Oreochromis niloticus: one gene and its partners. The main gene of each other region encodes a partner of the protein of the gene in region 3 in a complex. Links are inferred from orthologs where the notes say so. Each region holds a gene or a part of one and is shown on either strand. Other genes may lie near its edges. The genes, in order: mms19, polr2d and ercc2.

Region 1 (7,580 bases), on a different chromosome or scaffold from region 3:
CTTTACAAATCGTATAATCCCAGACTTTTATAAATCACTCTTTGATGACTCTGAATGCTGTTATTAGTCATGTTGATTTTTATCATATTGGAGATGAAGAAGAGTGTAATGATTTTTTAGACTCTGACAGTATTCTAAATATAGTTTAAAATAAAGTTAATAAATGTATTCCAAGGTGCTGCACATCGACAAATCACCTAAAAGCAGCCTTACTGGGTCTGATTAATATCACCAGTTTGTAATTAAACTGTGTTATCTACAGTTGCTGTAACCTGCATGTTGTCCCTGTCAGGTCAGCTGAATAATGAAGATTCACTACTCATTTAAAATCTGGTTAGATCCCAACTGTTTTTTCAAAAAAATATATAATAATGAAATGATTCTGTGTAAATGAGTAAACATCTCTGCTGTTAAAATCACACTTTTCCCCTCTTCTGTTTTTTTAACGAAAACAACACGATCCAACATGACCCACAGAATTAAACAGGAGGGTCTTGACCGTTGCCATGGTGAACATAGTCTGGAACCAAAAACTCAGAGCTTACATTTAGAGTTTGTTAAATCTGCTTTCTGGAACAAAGCCCAGGTCACAGTACCATCCCTCCTGTAAACATTTCCAGTTTAACAACTGGTAGCTGAGCACAAGTATTTCACTGTCAGCCCTCCATTTGCATCTTTTACAGTATGGCTGTTATCCTAAAATATTAGCCAAACAGAGGACAGTGTGTCAACGCCTTCCATTACTGCTGTGAGATTGCCCGACTTTTAAAGCTCATGCTTAACTCTTAAATCACTGGTTACTTCAACATGACCTGCTTCCTTCCACAGAGCTTTCTGTCTCTATTAACTGAGGTTTTGTGAATCAAAACATAATCTCTTACCCGCCTCTCTGGTCTCCATGATGTTGATAAGCATGCTGTAGACACATGCTCTCTCTGATAGCATCAGAGACTGCAGGGGAAATAAATACATTTGTTATTAGTAGGAACAGTTTTAGATGAGTCAGTTTTACCAGCAAAAACAATAACAGAGAGGAAACAAGAACATCTAACAAGTGTGGCTAGATGTTTCCGACAGTGTGTTACATTAGGTTTTAAAAGCATTAATGTCGGAAAAATCAAACAACTGCGAAACTAGGAAAAGTCATAAAACGTCCACTAAAGTCAGAATAAACAACTCAGACAGTCGAACTGTTGATATCATATTACAAAAAAAAAAAGTGGAATGTAAAATGTGAATTGTTTGGTTAATCATAATAAATTATTTGATTAATGGTGAAAACTCATGCACTGCAAATTGCTTAAATCTAATTTCTAACATTAGCATTTTGTCATAACCCTCCAAGTACAGTGATCTAGATTAGTTATAAATGTAAGGTGATTTATTTATAAGCAACAACTTGATCTTGACAACAATTTCGGTTAAGTAAAATACATAATGCAGTCTTTGTAAAATCCATATTCTCTTCAATTCCAACTTTAAAGAACACAAACACATCAAAGCTCACAACTAAGTATTGAAACTATGAAATTATGTAGGTAAAAATCAATCCAGCACTGTTGTTATTCCTCACAATAACACTTTAAATGTACAATATGACAGTCTCACCTGTACATGGATGTCCTGGAACACTGACCTCAGCATGGACACAGCTGAGCCAGGAGGCAGGTTTGTACATTTTGTCTGAATGGGGGGAAAAATGCACATTAAAAAAAAAGAAAGAGGAAATGCATAACCTGCCTCACATTTGGAACTTCTCAAAAAAGTCCCCCAGCCTGAAATAAAGTTACAGATTTGAGCAGAAACAAAATGTTTTCAAAGAACGACTAACCAGCGCCTTGAGCCCCTTTAAGACGGGAGGTGTGACGACATAATGATCCTTCAGACGGTTTTCATAGAAGGCAATGAGCACTTCCACTGTGGAGAAGAACAGGAAGAAATGCTGAGTGCTGATCGCCCCTTGACATGAATAAGCGTCATCGGAAGACATATATGGATATAAAAATGCAGTTATTTGAAAGCATTTTTGATTTGTCACTTTGCACGAAGCCGTACAATGCCAGCACAGTATATGGAAGGAGAAAGGTGTACCTTCTCTCTCTGTAAGATCTCCATAGCACTCCTGCAAAACCTCAGAGAGCAGATGGACTCCTCGGGCTCGAGTGTGAGGCTGAGAACTGGTCAGACTGGACCTTTAATAGGAAAGGGAATGAAGATAGAAGTTGGTATTAGATAGGAATGTAATTGCAAACTCTGGCTGATATTTTCCCCTGACATGACGATGAAGATTGCTTACCCCAGTGCTTCCACCAGCTGCAGAACTGTAAACTTCCCATCTTTGACACCTGATCAAAAAACCCCCAAATAAGTTTAGTGAAGTGGAGTGATGCGCTATCGCAATGCAAATACACGCATGCTCTAACTCTAGTAGCTGTACCAGGTTATAACTCAAAGGTAAGGCCACAGGGTTCATTGACAGGGTACTTCTACACAAACACAGCAGCTAGCAAGCAGCATGTGCTTTAACCGCTGCGGACTAGCATCAAATTAAGAGTCCTTGTGAAGAGACAATGTGTTCAAACTTGATGCATACATCCAGAATGTGCATTTACGCCAACAAAATGAGCAAATATATTTTCACGGCGAATGCTTGCTCTTTATCTTGCGGTTACAACACTACACAGGATGTTGTAGCGCTAAGTTAGCTAGTTAACCATCACGTCTCGCTGCGCATCCTCGAAGAGCAGCTCTACAGCCTCTCCCGCGTTACTTTTGTGAAAAATGCATCGTAAATGTCACCGGCAAACCGCGACGAAAGCCTTTTACCTTTTGCCGCATCTTTAGCCTTGCTGTCCTGCAGTCCAGACACAAATTCCTCCACCAGAGACAGCGCCAAGGTACTCTCCGCAGCCATCGTGTCCCTGTAACTACTTCGCTGGCACTACGCATGCGCGAAAACTTTAGGTGAATCGCGAAAAGCGACTGGTTTTAGATTATAATCTCATAAAAATATAACCTTTAAAAACAGTATAATATTATTTCCACACAAAACAGTGTCTTTTCATCTTTATAGAATGAAAAGATTTACCGAATGGTGGAAGAAAAGCTTCAATATTATGTCCTTTAATGCTGCATTCACGTACCGTCCGAACAATACTCTACAAATACTAGAACTCGCAAAAGTGGAATTCTCTTGATGTTCCTGATGTACATCCTCTTCCTTCCACTGAAGTTTTGCTTTTAAGAGGTTCCAATTAATTACTACTAGTATAATTTCAAGTATAGACATTAGGAGAACGTGTAGCTGTTGTATGATAACTCCGGTGTACAAATTAATTTGCGTACTCCTGCATTCATAATTGTGTCAAGTCCTGACGCAATAGAAACCAACACCTGGCTGGATGCTTTTGCGCAAGCGTAAAGAAAAAAGTTCGGCGGCGCTAGCAGACCGCCGCTGGTCACCTTTCACCAGCGAAGTGGAGAGAATTTTTTTTTGGGGGGGGGGGCTATTTAAAGAAAAGACTGTACCGAGCTCGTCAAAGAACTGAAGTACTCCTTCGTACGGCGGACAGAGGGAGGCTGTAATGACCCGCTACGTTTGTCATAGACGGAACATGCGGGGAAATGATCTCGTGCGCGCGGAAGTTTGTGTTTACTTACGCCGCGGTAGCTAGCGTGTTGGCCCTGTTAGCCTGTTAGCGAGAAAGGTGCGCTGTGCCTGGACGGGTTAACAGCAACACTTACAAGTCAGCCCAGCTTAACGAGCTACGTTAAACAGTAGAAACATACTGTATATATCCTGAAGCTAACAACGAGCTGGTGGCAGATGCTGCGGATTGCTCAAACTCTTGAAACATTGGTGCGGGCCACGAGCCGTGAACTCTGCGTGCGCGTGTCACACGCAGGCAGAAATTATTTACAAAGAGGGCACTTTAAGCCCTAATCTGAAACGTATAGAGCTGCAAAACGTGATTTAAATATTAACTGCCGCCCTCAGTCTTGCGTCGCTGTGCGCACGAATCATCCTCCTCATCGGACCTAGTACAACATCCTCGTCCGCAATGGGGCCCCTGTTTAGCCATTGAGACCCGTGGAAGCGATCTGGAGCCCGTTAACCATGGGGGGATGTATGGGCAGATACTTGGAAGGCTGGGAGGACTCGCAGAGCCGGGGCTCCTCCAGGAACGGTGGACGAGGAGGTAAGGCAACATTGTGTGGATGTTGTATAAATATGCGGGGAGGTTTCTTTGAAACATCAGAGCTGGAAACTTAAAATCATACAGCAATAGTGTCTCTGACCGTTCATGATTAGTGATGCCAAAAAAAAAAAAGAAGAGAGAAATATTCCTGCGTTGATAGTTTTGTGTTGCCAATAGCAATAGCAGGTTTAGACTTTACTCAGAGTGCATTTCTGGTCACCACTTGGCCCTTTTTTGTCTTGTGGCTGCTGTTAAACAGAGGTATCTGGGCAGGTGCACGAAATCTCCATTCACGATTACTCACACACACATCTTAAACATGTATGAATTGTTTAGAAGGGGTTTAGATCTGGGTGGGTTGGTTAAAGTTACCAGATTGTCTAGTTACAGAAAGTGGAAGCAGGTTGGGAGGTGGCAGTTTGCATTTTGTGTGAGGAAAGTGGATTCTGTTGTAGCTCTCTTTGATGTGTGCCTCTTCTGCATCGGTAAAAAAAAAAAAAAGGAGTTTATTCTTTAGCTTTGACAAGGTTTTTTTCTCATCTTATCAGTTCAGACTGGTGAAGCAGTATATTCAGATAACATCTGTAACAAAGCTGATGGCAGTAAACTCGTTGGGTAATTTTCGTATATTAAAATCTAGGGTGTAAGCTCTGTGTTGTGGTTACTGTAACAGCCAGCTACATTACATTAATTCCAAAAGTTGCTCTCTTTTCACATCAGTTCATGTCTGTTGGTTACGGACTTTCCTGAAAGTTAACATAATAATAAACTGCTACTTTTTTTAACCAACCTGAAGTTAACCATCAACACACAGGCTCCGTGCAGCTGAATTATTAGACACTGGGAACTTCTCCTTAGTTTCGATTTACAGAAAACAATGCTGATTATATTTTGTGTGACCTTGTTATGATACCCTCAGTCATTATTGGGAGATTAGCGCTTTACAGCCTGGTAGGTTCATGAATGGGGGTCACATAAACACATTGGGATGGGAAAAGACTTTTCAGCTTTTTCAGATTTCTGTCATATTGCTTTAAAAGCATGCTCACTTGTGTGACTACAGTGCAGGCCCACTTGAGCTCAGTGTTTGCCTTAGAGTGGCTGCTCAGGAAACTAAATGTCTGTTATTCATTTGGATGCAGGTTCTGTCCCTTTGATTTGTTACTGCTGGAAAGTTTTTCAGTACGCCTTTTTCTAGTGGGAATTGTCTCCAGTTTGCATCAGAAAGATGGGAGGTTTTTAAGATTGATTCCAGCTTTCGCCATATAAAAAAGGGCGTTGTTTGAATAGACTTTCTGACCCCTGCTTATAGAGTTGCATCCTAAAATTAGACACTAACATAGATTTTTGATGCCAATATGACCTTCTAAGTAAGTTTCTTTGTCGTGTGCCAGAGTAGCTATTTAAAGTTAAAGCTGTCACAGCCAGCATACCCAGGCTTTCTGGCAGTGGCTCATGTTGATTTCCCAACTTGATTAGACTCAACATGCTCCCTTTGCTAGACGAGGCTTCGATCAAGAACAAGTCACATCATGCCCCGCTGCATCATTGACTGACACTGACTTTTGTCTGTTACATACACGCTCATAAAGAAACACCACTTGATAAGAGAAGGAATTGGATAGCTTATATGGGATCTCAATTTTTCCATTTGTTCTAATTTCGTTTGGATGAGAGCTCAGTAATTTGTGTTACTATGTTCGTGTTAGGTCTGCCTACCACATGCTCAAAGGAACAAAAAGGAAGCTTGTTTGTATTGTCATGCTGAAACAAAATAATGGAAGAACAAGTTTGGACTTTAAATAAAGATATGCAGACACCCGTTGAAATTATCATTTGTCCCAATAAAGGGATTTTATTGTGGAAGTGTTGGAAGTTACAGAATATACAAGTTAGTAACACATTTAGAAGCAGCACAGATGTAACTGAAAGGTGATTAGAAATGCACAATTTCCAGTTTATCTTAAATATTGATTTTTATAAAGTCAAATATCAATCAGGCTTTAAGAGTATATAAAACCTGCTGAATATATATATTCACAAGGTTTGCTTGCTAGTTTTGTAAATCCCTTAATAATAACAGTAGACTGATTAGCCACGATAACGTCAAAGCTCTCAAAGATTAGGATCTCAAGAATCAACAAAATAATTCACTGGAAACTAAGCTGAACTGTGAAGGAAAGTGAAACCTGCCCGTTCCAAGGTGGTGTATCTATTTTGAATGTAATTGCTTCAGAAAATAGCTTGATTAAGGAGAAACACATTAATTTAGTTGACAATGTCTGTAATTTAGTGGTGTTGTGCTTTTTTGTTTGTTTTTGTTTTTGTTTTTTTAAGCATCTCTGTAACAGTGGTTTGCAATTTCAGTCAAAAGCAAATATAGATCAAACCTCAAACCAGCTTCCCCATGAGTGACTCTCAGCACTGTTTGTATCCAGCTGTCTCAGACTAACCAGAAATCAGCTGGGCTGTTGTATTGTCATGTCAAGGCTCGATTCTGACATGGAGGCGTTCAAGTCATAGTTTCACTTTATTGGCTCGTCTCGTACCGAGCAGGGTTTCTGCTACATCAGCACATCATCGCTATGGTTGAACCTAGGGCTGCTCAATTAATCGAATTTTAATCTCGATTACGATCTGGGTTTTGAACGATCATTAAAAATGACTGAGCCGATTATTAGCACCTCCCTCGTGCTTTACTCTCGCGCTGCTCCGTGTGGCAAATCGAGCGCACCTCTCTGCGTTTCGAACACGCGTCACAACAATTAAGAGGACCCGAGGGAAGCTCGGAAAGCTAAGCATAAGTTATTTGGAGAGGAGAGGATAATGGCTGCTGAAGAAAGAATGCCGCTGGTTGAAAAGAGAGGTAAAACGACTTCAGTGGTGTGGAAACCAATGTTCCCTCTAAGCTGCGCATGTGCGCAATTGCGCACTGCTGGCACGGTCTCTGCGCACAGAAAATCTGCGTTGCGCACAAAAAAAATCTAACCTGAATTGAAATTAAAATTAAAACTTTAACAATTCTGTTTTGCAGTGTTAGTCAGTGAGTGACTGGCTGCTCCTGTATGGGATTAGAACGATGCCACCTTATCCTACAGTCCAGCCAATAATGCGATTCACATTCGTATATACGCAGCCAATCAACGTCGTTGACAGGCTATGACAGCGTCCTTATGTGCCGACACCGGTGTTTTAGCTAGCAAAGCGGCGTGGCTGATGTGCAGTGAAGCCACATTAATGACAACGTGTACAACCATTGGAGATGTGAGCAGGACAGACGGAACAATTGACGGAAAAAGTGTGGACTTTATACCAGTTTTTAAATTGTGTTGATAGGTCACGTAAAACCAGAGTTATGATAAAAATATCTGCAATGTTTGG
Region 2 (7,205 bases), about 5.2 Mb from region 3:
CTTTTTCTTCTATACACATGACAATAAGCACTTTGAATCTTTGAATCTTGAATCTTGAATGACCGCTGTGGGCAAACCTCCACCCGCCCCATTGCTGCTAAACAGGTGACAATAGATTTAAGTGCTGCTGAATCTTTGATTTTATTTATTTTCTGCTGTGTTTTACTTGCATCTATTTGAAAGAGTGAGTGTAAACACAAAACATGATTTTAGTTTATATGCTGGAATATGCAGACAATATGTTTAAATGTTAAACATATTTCTTCAAGTCAAAGACTGTTGCATATAATTTAATTTTTGCTTGATGCAAAAAGTTAAAAGATTAAAACTAATGAAACAAGTTTTAAAAAGAGACTTTTTCATTTGATTCAGTTTTATATGATGGTTTATGGAGAAAAAATAGAATTGGGCTGAAAGGTCTGTTGCTTTATTACACATAAGTAATGGGATTACTTTCTTAGAGAAGTGATCAGTAATTAGTAACTAATTAGTATTTTCAAGTAACTTGACCAACACTGCTCATCACATGACCCAAGGTGTGAAAAGGGTGTGTGTCATCATCAGCAGGTGAAACCACTCAAAGACCCTGACCCCCATCATGTGACCTACTGAAATCAACTGACCCAAGGTGTGAGTGGGCGTTAAAACGACCGGATTATAGATGGCAGACAGTTGGTGTGGTAAGCCCCACCCTCTGTTCAAAGATGGTCGCTCACAGTGGACATAGATGCTTCGTTCACTCCTCTTTCAAACTGTTTTCTCTGTCCACAATGTGAACACTGGCATTCTCAGAGAGTGACCTTTGAACTTTGGATGCAGATGAACAGCTGCATCTAAATTGATTTCATGAGTCTTTTACTTACTCTCAAAGTGTTAAATGCTTTAAGGAAACTCCTCAACATATAAAACCCCAAAAGAGCACCGAGATGGTCCAGCCAGATGCTCTTAGTACAGCCGAGGTCTCGACTGAAGCATAGAGGAGATCGGGCCTTCACAATGCATTTCTTACTTGGAAATTCCGAATGGGAATAGTAGAAAGTAGAATGGGAAACTTCATTATCTTCAATGTGCTATTGCTGTGTGATTTTTATTACTATTAATGAAGGATACTCAACACAGCTAACATTGTTAGCTGGTGTTAGCTGAGGTTAGTTCATAGACTGCAGACTGTTAGACTGTTTCTAAATACTTTCACTAGTCCAGACCTAAGTTCACACGGGAGTTCGGACTTCCCGAGAATGTAGCGCAATCGTTCTACAATTGTAACGGCAGTGTACGTGATGACATCACAGCTCCATCCCCTCTTAATTTAACTGTGATTAATATTTGCAATGGAAATTACACATGACATTAAAAAATTACACATGATGTCGTAGATTTCGTTAAGAAAAAAAGATAATTTAAAAAAGAATCTTAAGCACTTTGGCAAAATTCACTTTTATGTATCATCTGTTTCATGTCTAATAAGCGTCATACAGCTAAGCATAATCACTACATGACAGAAACGCAAGCTTCATCTCTTTTAATAAACACGGTACACATGTATGCCTGAACAAAACCAGTGAGATGTTGGAACACTTTTATTATTATTTTAGTAAACAGTCAAAACTTACAGCAGACAGCTGCTGGGGTTTGGAGGAGAATTGAACAAATATTTCAAATATAATCTGATCCTTTTTGGAGCAGCTTTCAGGATCTCCACGTATTAACATGCTGTTTTTAGACTTGATGGATAGCATTAACAACCTGCTAGTTGCAAATAATCATGTGCAGTTCCACATGATTATTAACAGACAGAAAGAAAACATATTACTGATACAGAAATAGTTTTCTGTACGAGATCGCTGCAAAAAGTGCAGCCTTACCTAATGTCCACCCTACTTTTACTCATTTTATATTAAGATTTAAAAATCTAGTTGGTATTGGTATGGCGAGTAACCTTCAGTAATAGTAATAAGTCACACAGCAATAGGACATTCATGTAGTTGTAAAAATTATGACAATAGATTAAGTAATCCAAAGTATTCAGTTACAAATATGTTACAAAATACATTTTGGGGCATGTATTCTGCAATCTGTAGTGAAATACATTTAAATGTACCCTTCCCAACACTGGGAATCACTTGCCACTTGATATTCGTACTTCAGAGTCTATACCAGGGGTCGGCAACCCGCGGCTCCGGAGCCGCATGCGGCTCTTTAGTCCTTATACTGCGGCTCCGCGTGGTTTGGGAAAATAAATTAGAAGTATTTAGCTGAAGTGTATTTTATTTATGTTAGTTCTTTTTAACTCGTAGTTCTAAATTGGAAGATTGTTGTGATTTTGAAATATAAAAATAAAATTATATTCTATTATTTTTTTCATCGCTCAAAATAAGAGTCACACTCGCGGAAGCCGGTATACCCGCCGAAACGCCGTGCATTTATCGAGACTTTCAACCCTACGGATCTTCGGATACACATTATGTCAGCAGCTGTTCTCCACCGTGAACTATGATAAAGACAAACACCGTGAGTAAACTGACTTCGTATATCCCCGATTTGCGGACTCTGTGCACAGAGGTTCAGGAGCAAAGTCCCATTGTAAACATATCACGGCAGACCCGACGATGTTTCCATGAACACGCTTTTGAGCATCTCTTTATTGAGCACTTTTCACACACGGTTGCTGTACGCATACAGCCGGCTGTAGCCTTTCAGCTCACAGCCCAACATACACCACCAACAACACAACAGCACAGATAGCGCAGACGTAAAGGCGGCGAGGCGTGATTGCGGGTGTCGCTCAGGTGCGTCCGCCTCCCCTGCAGCGGCGCTGCAAACCACGCCCCGCCGCACGCGTTAACCAGGTAAAATACATATTTAGGCAGAATTTTGCAAATATCTATTTTTCATTTTTCAGCAGCATAGTGCTTTTTTCCAATTATTTTTTAAGAGTCAGGTCAAGGCTCCAACAGCCCAAAGGAGATATAAGGGTGGCGGCTGACAACAGTTTTTGTTTGCTACATGGATCATTTTAGTTCAGCTGGGTGTCTTTCCTTTTGTTATATTTCTTTAAGAGTTCAAAATGTGTTAATTACGTAAATAAAATGTAATTTTCTCTGTAGCACTTCATGGATTTCATAAGCAACACACCTTAGTTGTTCACACAAAGCACAAAGGTAAAAAACAATATATACAGTGTTATCTTCATTTTAGATGTCAAAAAGTATTTGCGGCTCCCAGTGTTTTCTTTTGCGTGGAAACCGGGTCCAAGTGGCTCTTTGGGTGTAAAAGGTTGCAGACCCCTGGTCTATACAGTGTTTCAAATCTCGTCTTGAAACTCACTTTTTTACGCTGGCTTGATGAAACTCAAAGTTCAGTTTGAGCACCATCAGGTTTGTTTTGTGTTTGTTTTGTTTTTATGTTAAATATGTTGCCTTTGCCTCATATCATGTGTTATTTTTCCATTTTCTCTTGTTCATGAACTACTTGTGAAGCACTTTGGGCAACTTTGTTGCTTTTAAATGTGCTATAGAAATAAAATTGATAACTGATGTTATGAAGTGGCTGTTTGGTTTTTCCAGGTCTGAGCTGTCGTCGCTGTACTGCACAGCTACACTAGGTTGTTGACTTTGTGGCCGGTGTGCTTGGAGAAGCCTCTGCTGAGTTTCTCTGATACCCAGGACCTCCCTGCCGTGAGGTCACAGCCGTCACGTTACGCCATATTGAGTGTCGCTGATGCTGCGTGTGTTTTATTGTGGTACAGCACCATTGCTTTCAGGCGTTGGTGGTATAGTGGTTAGCATAGCTGCCTTCCAAGCAGTTGACCCGGGTTCGATTCCCGGCCAACGCAGTCTCCCTTTTACGACCGCTGAGACAGATTTCGGTTGTTCTGTTTCTTCTTGTCGGGTTTCAGCGGCTCCCGGCGCTCATGAAAGAAAAGAATCTTCCTTAAACTGCTTAAAACGATTCTCTGACACTCAGTGAGACGCTGCCGCTCCCGTCCGCAGGAGGGCGCTGCAAGCAGAGACTGTTACTTTGAAAGGATTCCTGCCAGACAGGAAAATGAACTGTCGATCTGATTCTCTAGTTTTATGTAATTTATTTTTTTATATTGTCGTATCTTTGGCACAAACTGCACCCTCCTTCTGTTTTTCATAATGTTCTTTAATGTCGCCACAAAGAGCGGAAGTGACCGCGGGCGCCCCGGAAGTAGCTCTCGCTGTTTTCTTGCGGTGCGGATCGGCGGAGCTGCTTTCTACCCCCCGACCTCCTCCCCGACCTGCGCTTTGTTACCGGGCTGCCGGGCTTGACCGGGCGCCTGTGTCTCACCCTCCGGGCGGCTTCACACTCCCCGGCCTGTAGCCGGGACTGCTCCTCGACATGGCGGCTGGAGGCGGCGCGGCTCCTCCGCATGTTGGTGATGTTGAAGAGGACGCTTCTCAGCTGCTCTTTCCTAAAGGTGAGTACCTGCAGCGCGCGCACGCACTCTCGAACAACTACCGACACGCGCAGGCGGTCCGTGGGTGCACGTGGGTACACAGACCGAGCTGCTGTCTGTGGGTTCTCTGAGCCTGTGTGCTGAGTGATTGACAGATGTTAACCCCCTCCTCCTCCTCAGAGTTCGAGAACGCGGAGACGCTACTGAACTCCGAGGTCCACATGTTGCTGGAGCACAGGAAGCAGCAGAACGAGAGCGCCGAGGACGAGCAGGAGCTGTCCGAGGTCTTCATGAAGACCCTCAACTACACGGCCCGCTTCAGCCGCTTCAAGAACCGCGAGACCATCACGGCCGTGCGCAGGTACGCCCCCCCGGCCCCTGCCCAGGTCCGAGGCAATCCAGTTCTGACCCCTGTCATCTCTCTGTCTTCAGCCTCCTGCTGCAGAAGAAGCTCCACAAGTTCGAGCTCGCCAGTTTGGCCAACCTGTGTCCAGAAGCCGCCGAGGAGGCCAAAGCCCTGATCCCCAGGTAAGTCCGATCCACGTCACAGCAGGAACAATAAAAGCCTTTGTTACAGCTGCAGTGTTGAGGTACAGGAGCTGCTCCACAGTTCATAACTAGCTGAGTTAAACACACAGGCAGGTTCAATTCAATTCAGTTTTATTTATACAGCTCCAAATCACAACAACAGTCGCCTAAATCCGCTTTATACTACAAGGTAGACCCTACAATAATACATACAGAGAAAACCCAACAATCATATGACCCCCTATGAGCAAGCACTTTGGCGACAGTGGGAAGGAAAAACTCCCTTTTAACAGGAAGAAACCTCCGGCAGAACCAGGCTCAGGGAGGGGCGGGGCCATCTGCTGTGATTGGTTGGGGTGAGAGAAGGAAGACAGGATAAAGACATGCTGTGGAAGAGAGACAGAGATTAATAACAGATATGATTCGATGCAGAGAGGTCTGTTAACACATAGTGAGTGAGAAAGGTGACTGGAAAGGAAAAACTCAATGCATCATGGGAATCCCCGGCAGCCTACGTCTATTGCAGCATAACTAAGGGAGGATTCAGGGTCACCTGGTCCAGCCCTAACTATATGCTTTAGCAAAAAGGAAAGTTTGAAGCCTAATCTTGAAAGTAGAGATAGTGTCTGTCTCCCGAATCCAAACTGGAAGCTGGTTCCACAGAAGAGGGGCCTGAAAACTGAAGGCTCTGCCTCCCATTCTACTTTTAAATACTCTAGGAACAACAAGTAGGCCTGCAGAGCGAGAGCGAAGTGCTCTAATAGGGTGATATGGTACTACAAGGTCATTAAGATAAGATGGGGCCTGATTATTTAAGACCTTGTATGTGAGGAGCAGGATTTTGAATTCTGGATTTAACAGGAAGCCAATGAAGGGAAGCCAAAACAGGAGAAATCTGCTCTCTCTTTCTAGTCCCTGTCAGTATTGGCCTATAATTAGCTAAGACTGCTGGGTCTAGAGATGCTTTTTAAGTAAAGGTTTAACTACAGCCACCTTGAAGGCCTGTGGTACATAGCCGATTATTAGAGATAGGTTGATCATATTTAAGATTGAAGCATTAATTAATGGCAGGACTTCTTTGAGCAGTTTTGTAGGAATGGGGTCTAAAAGACACGTTGATGGTTTGGAGGAAGTAATTATTGAAGTTAACTCAGAAAGATCAATTGGAGAAAAAGAGTCTAAATGAATATCAGTGGTACTGAAAGTAGCTGTAGATAATATTACATCTGTGGGATGATTATTGGTAATTTTTTCTCTAATGATAAAAATTTTATTTGTGAAGAAGTTCATGAAGTCATTACTAGTTAATGTTAAAGGGATTGTTGGCTCAGTAGAGCTCTGACTGTTTGTCAGCCTGGCTACAGTGCTGAAGAGAAACCTGGGGTTGTTCTTATTTTCTTCAATCAGTGATGAATAGTAAGATGTTCTGGCTTTGCGGAGGGCTTTCTTATAAAGCAGCAAACTATTTCTCCAGGCTAAATGATGATCCTCTAAATTTGTGACACGCCATTTCAATGCCAATGTTCACATTTTGGACAGAGAGAACAGATGGTTTGAAAGAGGAGTGAAAGAAGCCATTTATGTCCACTGTGAGCGACCATCTTTGAACAGAGGCGGGGCTTACGACACCAATTGTCTTCCAGGGGCCAGAGCAGGCGACATTGAAGGAAATTTAAAACTGCTGGCTAAAGGTAAACGTAAATAAAGTAAGATCATAATTCACGTCGGCAGTAATGACACCCGTTTAGGCCAATCGGAGGTCACTAAAATCAATATTGAATCGGTGTGTAACTTTGACAAAACAATGTCGGACTCTTGATGCATTCTCAATCATCCAGGAAAGTAAATCTCCAAAAGTTGAATCTGTTCATCTGGACGTAGCGTTTTGTGGGAGAAACGTTTCGTCACTCATCCAAGTGACTTCTTCAGTCTCAGCTGACTGCAGGTTTCCCCAAACCTTATAAACAGTACATTTGCATAATGACTGAAACCAGCCCACTGAAGGAACAATGGGCTGTGAGGTCAGTTCCTTAATCATAATTATGCAAATTCCCATGACCATTGATCAACAATCACTGACCAAAACCCACTGATCAAAGAACAGAAGAGCTTCCTCGTCAGGCCAGGACTCTGCAGTCTATTTACACCTACAGGCCAGTGGACACTCTTTCAATGATGAGGATGTACACATCCTGGACAGGGAAGAACGCTGGTTTGAGCGCGGAGTCAAGGAGGCCATTTACGTGAAAAGGGA
Region 3 (7,327 bases):
CTCCCTTTTCGCTCTGATTTCTCCTCACAGATCTCCAGTGTTTTGATGTCACATTCCTGAAGTTTCTGAGGAACTTGGAGGACTGACCGGGCAGCAGACGGCGAGGCAGCCAGAGATCCCAGTCTTGATCCCCTGCATGCTGTTTGCCTGAGCCGGGATAAAGACGAGAGTTTGAGGAGACGAGGGCTCGGCGTTTGCTTTGATATGGATTTTCTGCGTAGGAGGGGAAGACAGAGGGAGCTGATCTGAGGTCAAGGCCTTTCTCCTCTCCCTTCCTGAGTCACATGTCAGTGTGAGGCTCAACCGCCAGGTTGCTATCGCTACTCTGACCGACCCAAATACTTGTTTACTCGCTTGGAGAAGCAGAACAGACTGGATATCTGAGCTGAGAGTGGGAAAAACAGCCAAGAGAGCTTCTTATCAACTCAGTGCTGTTTGCTTTCCGCTGAATTTCTCCTGCTGGAGCTCAAACGGCCCGAGGAACCCAACATCCACATCAAGATGCCTGCAAAGACGCCAATGTACCTAAAGACAACGACTCCCAAGAAGGGAAAGAAGCTGAAGCTCCGGGACGTCCTCTCAGGTGACATGATCAGCCCCCCGCTGGGCGACGTGCGTCACAGTGCCCACGTGGGGCCTGAAGGCGAGGGCGACATGTTTGGAGACGTCGGCTTCCTCCAGGGTAAGATGGACATGCTGCCACCCACGAGCCGGACGCAGAACGGCCACGCCCGCTCGCACAGTGTGGAGAGAGACCTGGGAGACGGCCTCACCGCGAAAGAGGACGTGCACAGCTACGCTTTTAACGGCTACCATTACCAGCACTCGTCCAGCGGCCTGCTGAAGAACACCATCTCCATGCCTGTGTTCATCGCTCACGAACAGGCTCCACCCAAACCGCCACGCCTCCATCTGGATGGTCCCTCCCACCACCATCAGCACCCTCCTGCGGCGACCCCCAAACAGAACAATGGCTGCAGCCAGACAGACGGTCAGCGCCAGCAGCACCCGACCGTGTCGCTCTGTGAGAATGGCGTGGTGGGTCGCTTGGCGTCCGAGCCCTGCCGTGACATCTCCCTCTCCCCAGCTATCCGCAGACTCGTCCCCTCCTCCGGCTCCCTCTCTGAGGGCTCCTCTGAGGACTCCATGTCAGAGATCTGCGGGCCGCAGGACGTTCGCCGGGGCCTCAGCCTGGACTCCGACACCTACCTGAGCAACGAGGATCTTCGAAGCGAACGCAGCGAGTCACCCTGCACCGTCTTCCACCCCGCCGGCCTCACAAAGCCCTCCGGTGTGTCGCGCTCCGACTCCATTGCGGGGTTGAACCTGGATCTGGGCCCATCCATCCTGGAGGATGTGTTGAGCATCATGGACCGCTACAAAGCTGAGGACAACCACTGCGAGCTGTGATTGAGATTAATGAGACAAAAAGATATTTTTATACATGGTTTAATATATCCTTTAAAACTCTGAACAGACTGATGGAGACAAAAGATGGAGGGACTGACGGAGGAGGGAGGGGAACTTATATTTCCGCCTACTCCTGGGAGCCGAGTCTGAAGGTGATAAAAGACTTCAAGAAGCTTGAAATGCAGGACGTTGCTGCTCGAGCCTTCAAAGCTGAACCTCATGCACATAGATTTTAAACTATAACATGGGGTTGCCAACGGTTACGTGCACACCGTCATTCTCACGGTGTCCAAAGAAACCTGCAGACCCTCCTTTATTTAAAAAAAATACACCCATTTGCATGTATGTTTTGGGCAGGTGTTTTCTGCCCATTTTAGAACAAAACAGGTCCATAAACATCCTGTTGCTTTCAGCTGATGGGGGAAGTCTTTCCTGTGAGTGTATTAAATACCTGCAACTTCACAAGGATACATGTGAGTGTCCCCACAGCGAAACAGCTGCACATATTTACCAAAACAGTCCAACAGAGCTAACTTTATTAGTTATTTAGAACTATTAACTAACCCTGCAACAAAACTTTTCAACTTACAGTGTTTATGGATGTTTACCATAACAGCAGGCTGTATAGGAGGATGACACCTCTAATCATTAATTTAACCAATAAAATAAGCCAAGAGGTGTTTAGAATTTTACTAGCAAAACAAATTTGGCAGATTTATCCTGAAAATTACCTAAAATATGTCGCAGCACCTCTCTCTAGGTTATTTAAAGCGAGGAGTGATCCAAAAATGACAAAAAAAAGATTATCATCTTTAAAAACTGTCCCACATTCTGCGACAGCCTCCCAAATTTTTAATGGACCTAGTATAAAAAAGTGAAACAGCTGTGCTGATCCACAAGTACATCCCAGTGTGGGATAGAGAAGTGTGCCAAAACTACCGAATCGCTTGCACAAACAAGTTATGAGAGGAAATACAGGCTGTCCTTCACCTGTGACCTGCATCATTTTTTGTGTTTAATTATCCCACATAAACATCGCCACCCTCATCTCACCCCAACTGACAGCTGAAAGTTGGCAACCCTGCTCCAAGTTAACCAGCACAGTTGCAGTAACATCACCACTGCTCCCTTTAATCTGTATCGCCTGTTAATCTGACTCTCACTGAGGATTTCCTGCTCACTTCTCTGCAGAGTCAAATATACTTGTCTCCAGATCGGCCTGGGAAAACAGGAGGAATCTCCAGCTGCACAGCTATTAATTCTTTCAGGATAAATGTGTATTTCTGCAGCAGAGTTCATGTTACGTACATAGACTAAGCTACAAACTGCTAATACTACTAGTTTAATGCTGCAGGTTAAATTCTTCATTTTGGCTTCCTAAGGTGTGATTTGGGGCTGAAATGTTGACATCTTCACTCTTTTACATCAACTCCGCTGCTGCTGACTTTACTGTCATCCTCTAATATGATTGTATCCCATTTAATCAACATTTCACTGGCAGGTTTAACCTTGTTTTTTAGTTTTTTATCATCAGAGAGAAGCTGGGTATGCTTAATGTTGGTGTTGTTTAAAAGCTTTAAGGGTAAGAATAAGAAAAAGTGCTGCTTTGTTGATCAGTTTTGAGATATCTGTCTTTATACATGCTGTGGCTCACTCTCTGCCTCCCTGACATTCACTGTCTGCATGATCACAGTAGCCTATTATTCAAATGTCATCTATGGTGTATGATTAATCTGTAAATGTACGAATAAAATGTTTCCTACTGCAAAAACTTTGCGGTTTCTTCTTCGCAGACAGACGCTTTATAGACATTAACACTAGTAGGCATACTTTATGGGTGTTTTTCACATGCAGCGATGAGATGAATAAAGATTTCCAAACCTCTGAACCACAGTGACGTAATTACAGTAAAAAAAAAAAGGGAAAAAAAGTCTTTTTTAATAGTTTTCAGATTAAATTTCAAACCATTAAAAACTAGTTTTCAATTCAGTGCAGGTGCAGTAAAAGTATAAATCTGTATAAATAAATGTTAATATGTGTGAAATTAAAGAATCTGGACAGCAAAAAAAAGTTTAATTTTGTTGTCGGTCTATTTATAATTATTTATTAATATATTCTGAGAATTCAGATTACTTTGTTTTGGTTGCGGATGAAAAATTCTTCCTAATCGGAGTATTTTGAAAGGATACATCAGACGTTATAGTGTGCACAAGGGCGATTTTATTGCTATGTGCTGCCCCCGTGTGGTCACTCTTTGGAATGGCAACTCTTTAAAATGACTAAAATCTCATTAATGCAGCTGACTTAGAACTACTTCCGGAAAAGCCTGTGAAAATAAAGTTATTCGGGTAGGGTATTCCAAGTAATACAAAAAAATATAATGAAATTACCCAACACATGCATGCCTTTGCTGTACACGCTGAAGCCCAAATAATAAACGAAAGCATCGAGAAAGCACAGCTGTGAATTATAATTAAAACGTAAAAAGTAAAACGACCGAAAAGTCACATTTACCTCTACACAGTAAGATGTAACGGCTGTTTGATAATACACAGTATACCATTAAACACTGAAGCTCGTGCGATTCTAACTGATGGGTTATTTTAGCGTTTATATTACAAACTATTCACCGGAAATTAAATTGTTATATGACTCGAATGTGGTCAAAGTTAGCGCCGATAGCAGCAGGCTAACACTTCCAGTTGAAGTAATCGTCGTCAAATTTAAATATAAATACATAAATAAAATAAATATAAGGAGACATTAACTATAAACTAATTAAATAAAGGGTTTTTAAATGTAACTTCGAAGCATTACAGTGGACTATTTAGTTTTTCTTTTGGCCTGTAGGGGGCCGTAATCCGTCTGATAGCGTTTAAACGACAAACGAAGAAGAATTAAATGCTGCAGCAGGCTGTGGCGTTGCTAATGCGGCGTTTTGTTTTGTGTTTTTTGCGCACATTCAAATTTTAATGACTGTTTTAAAATAACATAAGTTACGTAAAAAGAAGAGGAGCTGCCGCTAAACGTGCTGTGAAGATGAAGTGAGTGTTTTACTGAGTACAAACAGACAACATGGGCTTTCAGTGTTAGCTCGTTTCCAGCAACTGTGACATACCTGAGCCAAGTCCACATAAAATCAGAGTTTTGTGGCTCTAGTTTATCCAAATCACTGTTTTAATTTTTATTTTAGCTGTCTCGCACTCATTCGCACATACTTGGCTTAAAGATAGTCCAGTATGAAGTCTGTACAGCTGCTGTGCACTGTTAGCATCATTGCTGTTTCCTTGCAGGCTCAACATTGAGGGTCTGCTGGTGTATTTTCCCTATGACTACATCTACCCCGAGCAGTACTCCTACATGCTGGAGCTGAAGAGGACGCTGGATGCCAAGGTGGGTGGTGTCAGAGGTTAATCTGAAGGCGTGGTTTTCATGCACAGGTTCATCTGTGCTCCTATCTACACAAAATACCCTGGGTGTAAGCTGGACTGTCGATCAGTCCAGAGGTTGGATGACACGTGTGAATGAACAGTGGAGAAGAGAGGTGGATTGGATGGAGATGAGTGTCACGAGTCCTTTGTGACAGAATGATATCAGAAAGAGTGAAAGGCAAGGTTTACAAGATGGTAGTGAGATTTGGTATAATGTTTGGTTTGAAGACGGTGGCACTGAAAAAAGACAGGAGGCTGAACTGAGGATGTTAAGATTTTCATTGTGATTGACGAGGATGGTTAGATTAGAGTTGAATACATCAGAGGGTTGAGATGGTTTGTAGACAAAGTTAGAGAGGCTGGGATGGTTTGGACGTGTGCAGAGGAGGGATAGTGGATATATTGATCAGAGGGTGTTGAAGATGGAGCTGCCAGGCAGGAGAGAAGAGGAAGGACTCAGAGAAAATGGATGTGGTGAAGGAGGACATGCGAAGGGGTTGATATATGAAGCCTGTACAGCTGCTGTCGGGGACAGAGGAGGATGCAAGCATAGCAATAGATTCATTTTGGTCTGAAGAAGGTGGAAGACGAGTCATCTTTTTTATCCAGTTGTTATTTCAGTTATTTAAGATAATCAAATTTTCTGCTCTTTGCTGTTTCCAGTTAAAGAAAAGTTCTATTTTTTTCTTGATGTGATCAGTCTAGTCATGTATGTATTTTAAAATTTGAGTTACTTTTTTCCTTCTTTCCTTCCTTGGAGTTGAAGAGATGATTCCTAAAGTTACAGTATTTAGTCCAGATTTTACCTTTTGTGTCACTGTGTCGTATTGTGTTGCTCCTTCAGGGAAGTACAGTGTGTCCATCTCAGATTTCGCTCACGTTTAAAAGTGAGTGTTTACTTTCAGCTGCTGCTTTCTGTGTTAACCGAACCTGTTCCTGTTCAGGGTCATGGAGTCTTGGAGATGCCGTCAGGAACAGGGAAGACCATCTCTCTACTGTCCCTCATTGTGGCCTACCAAAGGGTGAGTTCAGCCTCTCTCATAAGTGGTTTATACTAACAGCTGGTGGTAGATCAGCATGTAAATATGTTCTCTCTCTCTCAGGCTTTCCCTCTGGAGGTCACCAAGTTAATTTACTGCTCTAGAACAGTTCCGGAGATCGAGAAGGTGAGTGGACGTCAAATCAGTCGTCAGTGAAGCGTGTTTCTACTGTGTAACTTTCTTTTTGAATTAAACAAGAAGAAGCGTTCAAAGCCCCGACGTCTCACATGGTGTGTTTGATTCTTTCCGATAAGGTTGTGGAGGAGCTGAGGAAGCTGATGGAGTTTTACACTAAAGAAACAGGAGAGAGCAACAACTTCCTGGCTCTCGCTCTTTCCTCCAGGAAGAACCTCTGCATCCACCCTGAGGTATGAACACCCGCATCCCACGAAGCTAAAGGAGCGATTTAGGATTCAGCTTTCTCCTTTCAAAAGTGACCGACACGCTTGTCTTCTCACAGGTGAGCTCTCTGCGCTTCGGTAAGGAAGTCGATGGGAAGTGCCACAGTCTGACAGCATCATACATCCGCGCACAACATCACAGCAACCCCAACCTGCCCGTCTGTCGCTTCTACGAGGCAAGAACTCACATCAGATGGTGTTTTTCAACAGAAGCAGAAGATATTTTTTTGTAATGGCTGTTGACACGACAGCATCAGGGTTCAACATAACCGGTGGGGTCAGGCGCTTTTGGGGCGGTGATGCTACTGAGTTAGGATGCTAACTGGCTAAATCAGCTCTCATGATTTAAATGAAGTGTAAGAGGTTGCTGAGGTAAAGAGGCAGGAAGATGGTGGTGGTGGTGACACTGTGAGTGTTTCTCTTGGATTTGCATCCAAAAATAGATGCATGAATTTTATAAGATTTAAACCCCCTAAAATGTTTTTTACCACTATAACTAAAATGCATATATGAAGGTATAACTTAGTAACTATTCCTGCATTGCGTTGCATGTGGTTGACTCCTGCTGTCTTTAAGCACGATCCTTTTTGTGCTACATGCAAACTTAGATACATTTGAATGCTTAATAAAGCTTAAAGACGAGTAAGTTCTGTGATCTTTATGGATTAAAAGTTTAAAAACAAGTTCAGGTTTCTATTCTTTAGTAATCTGTTCATTTCTGTGCTGGATGATTACAACTTACTGGCTCGACGTGATTAGTTAGGAGCATTTAATCAGCCTGAAAACTTAAATCCAGCAACTACTCGACACCATCAGATATGCAGATTAAAAAAGTGTTTGGTTTCTGGCTGTCGCCTACATGAACTCAGGAAGTGTTATAGGTCTCAGTTTGAGACTTTTTAGCTCATTGATCTTAACACAGATACAAACTGTAGGTTTACAATGCCTGAAAACTGGAAAACAGGAAAACCTGTTTTGTGTTGCAGGAGTTCGATTCAGTCGGCCGACAGGTGCCTCTTCCTGCTGGCATCTACAACCTTGATGA

Evidence for each region.
Region 1: ercc2 (region 3) and mms19 share a complex: the UniProt entries of both Homo sapiens proteins name them as parts of the MMXD complex. The link is inferred for Oreochromis niloticus from reciprocal best matches to the Homo sapiens genes ERCC2 and MMS19.
Region 2: ercc2 (region 3) and polr2d share a complex: the UniProt entries of both Homo sapiens proteins name them as parts of the TBP-based Pol II pre-initiation complex. The link is inferred for Oreochromis niloticus from reciprocal best matches to the Homo sapiens genes ERCC2 and POLR2D.

Annotation. Positions count from the first base shown.
Region 1 is NC_031973.2:22,199,362-22,206,941, reverse strand, and holds the start of mms19 (MMS19 nucleotide excision repair protein homolog), read right to left. Parts: upstream 3,034-7,580; 5' UTR 2,915-3,033; coding exon 2,827-2,914; intron 2,346-2,826; coding exon 2,297-2,345; intron 2,193-2,296; coding exon 1,832-2,192; intron 1,684-1,831; coding exon 1,609-1,683; intron 952-1,608; coding exon 882-951; intron 1-881. Other genes in the region: ubtd1b (ubiquitin domain-containing protein 1), read left to right, coding at 4,118-4,199. UniProt on the Homo sapiens protein: Key component of the cytosolic iron-sulfur protein assembly (CIA) complex, a multiprotein complex that mediates the incorporation of iron-sulfur cluster into apoproteins specifically involved in DNA metabolism and genomic integrity.
Region 2 is NC_031979.2:40,020,913-40,028,117, reverse strand, and holds the start of polr2d (DNA-directed RNA polymerase II subunit RPB4), read left to right. Parts: upstream 1-4,173; 5' UTR 4,174-4,365; coding exon 4,366-4,444; intron 4,445-4,603; coding exon 4,604-4,784; intron 4,785-4,855; coding exon 4,856-4,951; intron 4,952-7,205. UniProt on the Homo sapiens protein: Core component of RNA polymerase II (Pol II), a DNA-dependent RNA polymerase which synthesizes mRNA precursors and many functional non-coding RNAs using the four ribonucleoside triphosphates as substrates.
Region 3 is NC_031979.2:34,778,873-34,786,199, reverse strand, and holds the start of ercc2 (general transcription and DNA repair factor IIH helicase subunit XPD), read left to right. Parts: upstream 1-4,272; 5' UTR 4,273-4,449; coding exon 4,450-4,454; intron 4,455-4,703; coding exon 4,704-4,803; intron 4,804-5,785; coding exon 5,786-5,863; intron 5,864-5,944; coding exon 5,945-6,007; intron 6,008-6,135; coding exon 6,136-6,249; intron 6,250-6,341; coding exon 6,342-6,458; intron 6,459-7,268; coding exon 7,269-7,327. Other genes in the region: zgc:154093 (cdc42 effector protein 3), read left to right, coding at 502-1,410. UniProt on the Homo sapiens protein: ATP-dependent 5'-3' DNA helicase. Component of the general transcription and DNA repair factor IIH (TFIIH) core complex, not absolutely essential for minimal transcription in vitro.